Linked DNA regions of Macaca fascicularis. The protein of the gene in region 1 purifies or fractionates together with the protein of each later gene. This does not show direct contact. Links are inferred from orthologs where the notes say so. Each region holds a gene or a part of one and is shown on either strand. Other genes may lie near its edges.

Evidence for each region.
Region 2: the proteins of CCDC68 (region 1) and CEP170 purify together in Homo sapiens (co-immunoprecipitation; 3 studies listed by BioGRID and IntAct, counting the BioPlex papers as one, with this or other methods). This does not show direct contact. The link is inferred for Macaca fascicularis from reciprocal best matches to the Homo sapiens genes CCDC68 and CEP170.

The regions. Positions count from the first base shown.
Region 1 is NC_088392.1:26,040,479-26,043,991, forward strand, and holds part of CCDC68 (coiled-coil domain-containing protein 68), read left to right. Parts: intron 1-407; coding exon 408-533; intron 534-2,261; coding exon 2,262-2,390; intron 2,391-3,513. UniProt on the Homo sapiens protein: Centriolar protein required for centriole subdistal appendage assembly and microtubule anchoring in interphase cells. Together with CCDC120, cooperate with subdistal appendage components ODF2, NIN and CEP170 for hierarchical subdistal appendage assembly.
Region 2 is NC_088375.1:5,967,331-5,971,533, forward strand, and holds the start of CEP170 (centrosomal protein of 170 kDa), read left to right. Parts: upstream 1-1,394; 5' UTR 1,395-1,615; intron 1,616-2,117; exon of another isoform or gene 2,118-2,307; intron 2,308-4,203. Other genes in the region: SDCCAG8 (serologically defined colon cancer antigen 8), read right to left, coding at 415-481.

The DNA.
Region 1 (3,513 bases):
TCCTCAATACTTTAACCTTGTCCCACTTCTATTTCAGGAAGATACACTTTTTAACACTGTTATGGACATTAATGATAAAAGGCTTGCAAATAAGTGTATACGCTGACAGAGCAGCATAGAGTTATCTGAACAGTGAGGACTATCACTGCAGGGCATTACTGTGCACAGAGCTCTGGTTTGGTTTGACTATGGCAAATCTGCCTTTTCAACAGCCCCTCTAAATAGGGAGTTTCTCCTTTTACATTTTCCTCTTACCAAATAACAGTGTCTTCTCTCCTATCCATTGTCTATGAGGCTGTAAAAGGTATAGTTATACCCTTGGTGTTCTTAATTGCCCATCAAACTGTTCTGCCTTTAAAGTTTTTTTGTTGTAAATGTCAGAACATGCATAGTGACCTTTTTTCTAGCTGGAAGCCTCCAGAGAAGCAGGAGCAGCAGCTCTGAGAAACGTGGCCCGGAGATTATTTGAAAACTACCAAACACAGTCTGAAGAAGTGAGAAAGAAGCATGAGGACGGTAAACACTTACTCCAGGTACCAAACAGGCAGCTTGTCTATGGGAGAACTAGCCCCCACCCTGAGCTGTTCAAGTTCATCTTTCTGGAAGAGTTAGAAATGAAACAAGCAATGGCCAAGTGACTTGGCAAAAGACTTGGGAAAGGAGCGGTGTGCTAGTCTTTTCTGCCAGTTTCCCTCGCCCCTGCTTAGCCCGACACCCCCAGATGTTGCTGAGCTGCTGTGTTGCAGTTGTTGCCCGATCCCCCATGAGCACAGGTGGGAGGGAGGCAGTGCCACCCTGCCTGGAAATCTGGGCTGGCCCTGCGGAGCCTGACTGGTAACCTCTCTTCGGGTTCTGCCATTGACTTGCTAGATGACCCAGACTGAGCCATTCTTCCTGTCTGGATTTGGGTGTCCTTGTCTCTAGAATGAAAGAGTTGGGCTAGACACATGATTTCAAAATTGTTTTGGACTTAGGATACATACTTTGGGTTATAGAAAATAGAAAACAAAATATGTATCTATATGTTTTTAAAAATATATAAAGATATATATTTTTAAAATATATAGTTATATATAATAAATTATATTATATATAAAGTATAATAAATAATATATAATATATAAGTTATATATTTTTATATTTTAATATGTAAATATATAAATTTTAAAAATAAAAATGTACATACACTTATACATGTTCTTTTTTGTTCATTTGTTTTTAAATCTGAAGTATATACACTAGGGCCAATAAAATCTGTCTGAAAAATATATTCTAGAACTGGAGAAGTCAAAAAAGTGTGTGTATGCCTGTATGTGTGTGTTTGCCAAAATTAAAAATATAAAACAGCTAATAGGTAAGTTCACTCATAATAGTTTGGGGCACCCAGGTGTCTGTCAGCTCAGGCTGTAGGAAGGTCCCCAGGGGAGTACAGTAGGAAATTCACTGCCTAGGTGACACCCTTTCATGCAGCAAGCTGTGGTAGTGATGGTTGCATACTCACATGCATGCAGGGTGCAGATGAAGAACATAAGCGGGAAGCTGATGAGGGTGCTATGCTATGGCGGGGGGCTTGTGGGGACAAGAAGCATGCATCCCTGTAATGTGGGCTCGGCACTAGCCTGGAGTGAACTGACTGAAAGGCCCGCTTGGTACTTACAAAGGAAGCCAGACACTTATTTTTCCCTGTGAAATGTCAAGCTTTGTTAAATACACATGCGGAAGAGTAACAAGTTAGTCGACACAGTCCCGCTGTAGCCTATTACCTGCTAGATGGAAACTTCTCTCCTATGATCCCTCAGCACAACCCCTGCTCTATGCCTGTGAAGTAGCACGGTGACACGCTGAGGAGAGTTATTCTGATTTTATGACACTTTCTGATTAAAAATAAAAAGTGTTTTAATTGAACCTGTATGGTTTTTTTTGGTTCTGGATAATAATTGTTGAGAAAAAGTCAACAATGTTGCTTTTGTTAAATTAGCATCTTTCTCTCTTGTATCAATTCAGAAAGTATGCTTTATGGTAACAAATGGAAGCATTCTAGGAAGGATATTTATGTTTATTATAATATTAATTCTTGATTTAATGTTGTTGTAGTCTATCAGGGTTATTTTGAAGGAAACACTGAAATCAAAAAGAGCAATTCTAAGCAAGTATGAATTCTGAATTTTTTTGGCTAATTAGAAAATTGTAGAAAGAGGTAATATGTGTATAGGTTTAATAAAAACAGAGTTTTCACAACACAACTGTTTCTCTGACCATAGGTTAACAAGCTTGAAAAAGAACAGAAATTGAAACAACATGTTGAAAATCTGAATCAAGTTGCTGAAAAACTTGAAGAAAAACACAGTCAAATTACAGAATTGGAGAACCTTGTACAGAGAATGGAAAAGGTACAGCCCTGGAGAATTAGAGGATTTTCTTACTGACAGGGTTAGGATGAGAATGAAATAAAATAATACCAAAATAAATAGGATATTAAATTAAATAAGATAATGTTAAGTGAAAGTATTCTTTACAGTATTTGCCCTTAGGAAGCATTTAATATTAATTTTCCCTTAAACATTTCATATGATCTATACTGTAGTGATTGACTTACCTTTCTGCAAATACTGTAGTCATATCATCATTTGTCACTTTCTAGGAAATACATGACTTAGAAAGGGGAACCAGGTGAGGCTGTGAATGCAACTAATGGAAAAGAGCACAAAGTCCATCTACTAGGAGTATTAATATAGCAGGTCCCTGTAATCACAGCATTTTTATGTATTAGAGTCAGTGCAGTATCCATTTTTGATCACCCAAGTCTACTTTGTGTTTGTAAAAACCTATGGCTGCACTAGGAGAGATACAGTTTACATTAAGAAAAGCCATTCTATAGAAATTGGAACTTTAAGAAGGCACATTTAGAGAAGAGTAATAATAGAATAAAAATTTGAAAATATTTCATGCCATGTTCATTTAACTAGCTAGCATTCCAAATATACACAAAAGGTGAACACGTAAATTTGTGTATGTATGCCTTAGAATTTAGAACTTGGACAAATCAAGGAATATTATTTTTTAATAGCAAAACAAAGAGAAAACTGGCATCTCTGAAACTGAATTGGGGATAGAGAAAAATATAGGCTTTGGATACTAGTAAATATTGCCCAATACATTTTTTATATTTATTGTATTTGCCTCTGTTATTTTTAGCTTTAATTTGTTTTATGAGTCTGCCTGGGTTTATGCCATTTCATAAATATCATTTCAAAAACATCACATTTCAATATTTAGGTTTCTTATCAAAGGAACTTTGATTTGTTTAAAAATATTTCCCAAGAATTTAAAGTTTTATGACATTGTGATTTGGTTGAATTCGTAGTCTTGGTGAAGGACCTATGAGGAAATCATAAAAATTAAATATGCCCATTATCAAGTGGCTCTAAGATAACAGTATTCAGCTGCATGTGTATTATGTGGTAGGTCACTGAGTGTTATACTTTAGCAGAATCACTGGGCTAGAATATCCTT
Region 2 (4,203 bases), on another chromosome or scaffold:
ATTATTAGTGTTTCCCCCCACGGATCCTATAAATCACATTCAATCCACTATGCCATAATTTAAATGTGTAAAAACTGTGCATCAGACTTTTATTGGATTAAACAACAAAGTATGGGAACTGGGCAAAAATGACATAGAGCTATCCAAGAGTCTCTGCTGTCGCTGGTTGAGAAGGATGCCAAGATCAAGGAGTTGATTCAGGTAACTAAGGGAATCTGAGGAAACATCGTTGCTTAACTGTAAAAACTAAATCAAACTACTTCATCCTCCTCAGAAGACCACAGCAAACATCCATCTTGCTCCTCTGTAGCCTGGATGGGGCAGACCCAGGTGTTAGGAGACGCACCTGGTCCGCTCCCGCCCACTAGGCCCTGGGCACCTCGGGGCTAGGGACAGAGGTTTGGAGCAACTCACCCCGGAGACTCCGTTGATACTGCCCCAGAATCTCCTCCAGGGTAGAGTTCTCCGGGGACTTCGCCATGCACACACTCTAGGCCCAGAGCTGGGAGTTACGTGGGGAAATGTCCAGCTTTCTCCCTTCCGAAAACAGCAGGCCTGTGGCCGCGGAGCGCCGGCCTGCTTCCTGCCGCGGCTGTCACAGGGGAGCCTAGAATCCCGCACGAAGCTCGTGGGGGCTCTTCCCACCCACTGGCCCTCGCGTTGGACCTCGGGAGTTGTAGTCCTCATGTTCAGCGCCTCCAAGCTCGACAATCCTGAGAGCCTTCCAGCTACACTACAATTCCCAGAGACCACTGCGCACCAGGCGCTAGCTCGGACGGTTGGGCTGCCAGAGCCTGTTGCCAAGAGACAGGCTTGCAGGCCCCGCCCTTTTCCTCCAGCCCAGCCTGGTTTAGTCCCGCCTCCATCCCGCTCTTCTGCCGCCTGGACCACCCCAAATGACAGAAAGGGTTCACTGAAGGCCTTGACGCTTCGAATTTGCTAATATGCAGCAGTTGATCCCTAGGTTACTCAAGGACGCAGAGAGGAACCTCTGAACCCTGCTTCGGTTGCGGTATTTTTTTAAACGGTCGAATAAATCCTCAAGAAATAGAAGCTCTAAATCCTCCAAACAGCCTAAATTGTAAAGGCGGCCGACACTACAACTCCTAGCATGCCCAGTAACCGGACCTCCACTTGGAGTTGGCGCTCTGCCCGCTGGGAACTGTAGTCCTTGTTGGTTGCGGTCCCACCTAACTCCGAGGTCCTCTTCATTGTTCTAGCTGGTCTTTCGGGGCACGCCTGCGCAGTGGGCAAGCTGGAAAAACGTGTGGGTGAGACCCTCGCACAACCCCTTTTCATTGTCTGTGTCTGGCGCCTGCGCAGTAAGGAATCGTTGGAACTGGGCAGGAGGAGGGGATAGGGTCCAGCTCCTCGCCCTTTCCCGAGGCGCCTGCGCACTAGGCAGCCGCTCTTTGCCGTTACCGCTATGTGTGGGGCGTGTGTGGAATAACGTTATTGCCCAGCGGAGCTGAGGGCCCCGGAGCTCGACCGCAGCGGCAGCGACGACAACAGCGGCGGCGACGACGACGAGGTGGGGGGAGGACGGCGTGCGAGAGACTCACGGGACGCGACGCGCCCCGCCTCCCCCGTCCGGTCCCTCTCGCCACTGTGAGGGGTAAGTGATGCGATCGGCTGCTCGGTGTAGGCGCCGCAGCCGCCGCCGCGGCTGCTTTTCCACGTCCTGCTCCTCGGGTTTGCAGCGAGGACTCGGGCGCGGCCCGCCGCGGGGCGGGGGTGCGGGGCTGCGGGGCTGGACCGCGAAGGGGGCGCTTCCCGGATGCTCCGCGCGGCGCCGCCACCCCCACCCTCTGCCCGCCCAGGACCGGGGTCTGGACGGGACCACCCTTCCCATCCCCCACCCGCCGCCCTCGGGAGCTCCAGTCCTGCGGCCCCCCGGCTTTCCCGAGTCCCTGGCCGCCGCCTCCGCGTCCCCTAAGTGCATTGACTCATTTTCAGCTTTCTCCTGGCTTTGTGCAGCCCTCCCCCTTCCGCCGTAGCAGTTTGCGAGGGGTGCGGGCGGAGCATTGGAGGGAATGGCTGCGCTGTCGCTGGGGAAGGGATTTTTCCCCGATTGGAGCAGTTCCGCGGGCCGATCCCTTTTGTGTGGTTGGTTTTGAGGTGTGAGGCCGTTGGCGAGGTCAGGCGAGGAGCCTTTTGGACGCGTTGGGAGGGCGTGGAAGACGCGCTGTCATGCACCCTGCCAGGCGACTGCACCCCGCGGAGGCTCTGGCTCCGTAGTAAACCCGGGGGAGGAGAGAGTGGCTTCCTGTCGGCTTCATTGTCCTAGGATTCAAATATAGGGTTTTGGTACGTTTCGCTTCCATTTTATGCAAGCGATGAAAAAATAACATTTGCAGCTGCCTAACACAGGGCGGGAAGACGTGGGATTTGTCTACTAAGTCACAGAATCTCTGTTCGGTGGCGTTTCGTAGAGTTTTATTTACTTATTTAATTTATTTTTGAGGAATGTAAGGGAGACAGGGACTATGCCTGCTGGAGTCCAAGCACTGCCAAGGTGATCAATATAAAATTACTAGGTGACATTGGAGCCTGGGCTGGAGAGGGCCTGACAACGAAGCTGTTGTGTCAGGGAAATGAACCAGCAGAATTGTTTTTTCAATGGGCGGGTAATGCATTTATGTTCCTGAGGGAATAGATACATCTTTCCGTTTTATTTTTTAAGCAAGTAGAACAAACAAAACAACTGGCCCAGGTCATTTCTGTTTCCGAAGTTGTTACCTCATTTTTATTGTATTAATGAAAATTTAGCCATTTGGGAGGAATTTGGCGAAGCAGATGATACATTTGATTGAAAATGCATCTTTTAAAACGATTTCATCCTCAAGTTTACAATGGATACAGCCGTTTGCTGGCGTTGCTTCTTAAAACACACCAGAAGAGAGGATAACGCAGGATGGGGAGGAGCAGGTGGAGGAATAATGGGAGAGGAGAGAGTGACATTTTGACTATAGTATCTGGATCTTCACTGGTATAACCCTAGCTGGGTATGCTTCAGAGACTTAGGAATTCAGCTCTGGAAACAGTACACTGATGAATAGCAAGTTACGTATTTTTCTGTCATTATTTTTTAAAAAGTAAAACTAGGGCTGCCTTTAGCTCTTCCTAACTTTGTAGGTAACACGGAAGAGCCCAAGTGCACTTGACAGAGGAAGACACTAAAACTCAGAAAGTTAACTGACTTGTCTGCCCAAGCCAGACTGTTAATGGAAGGCAGAGCCAAATGAAACTCAAGGTCCATTCTGCAGAGTGATCTTTCCTGTGTCCCCCCAGCCCTTTTACCCTGTGAAAATGTATGGAAAGCTTCTTTACGCTCTCCTTGAGCAGGCTGTGACTATCACTGGACTTGATTCTCACCGTTATTAATCAAGTTCTTGCCTCTGCGATGTAAAAGTAGTAATTCTTCTGAAATGGACCTTTAGTTGTATAAAGTAACTTACTAAATGAGGAAAGATGTCCTAACATGTGCTTTTCATAAAAACGAAGTGTTGCAGTGTTTTCCCTACTACTTAATGGTAGGTTTTAGTATTATTTCTTGAAAATCAATAGTATTTTATAATAATATCATGATCAACTCTATAGGCTGTGTTAAAAATAAAATTTCTGCATAACAAGAGCCTGTGATGTTTATTTTACCACAGTTAATGAGTTGTAATCATTAATGAGTTATTAGTGATTACTTTCAACTTAAACTAGAATTTACATTTTAAGATATATTAACTTTGTTTTTTATTGGGTTGATTTTGCCATAAAGTGCTCTTTTCTTGCCTTATAATTTTAATCGTTTAATTTTATGTTGCATTTTAATAGACTTCTTTAAAGGATTTATTATTTATCTTAAATTTCAACTTTAAAAAATGTGTAACTAAATTTCAGTGTGTGGAATTATATTCAATCATGCTTTAAATGTATTTTACTGGTAAATTTCATTGTGTTCTGAGATTATTTTGTATGGAAATAATCTGCCTGTTCCCTATTTTAACATTAGAATAGTGAAATTTATACTGTAAACCTTAGCATACATTCTGCATATTAATGCTGCTATGGTACTTTTTAAAATTCTGTGCTTCGTGATTTGTTTGATTTGTTCTAAGTATCAGTTTCTTGTTCCTTTTTATCTACTGAAAAAAAGAACTAGTTTTATTATTGTATCTGATTGCAATTAGATAATGCTCATCTAGTACT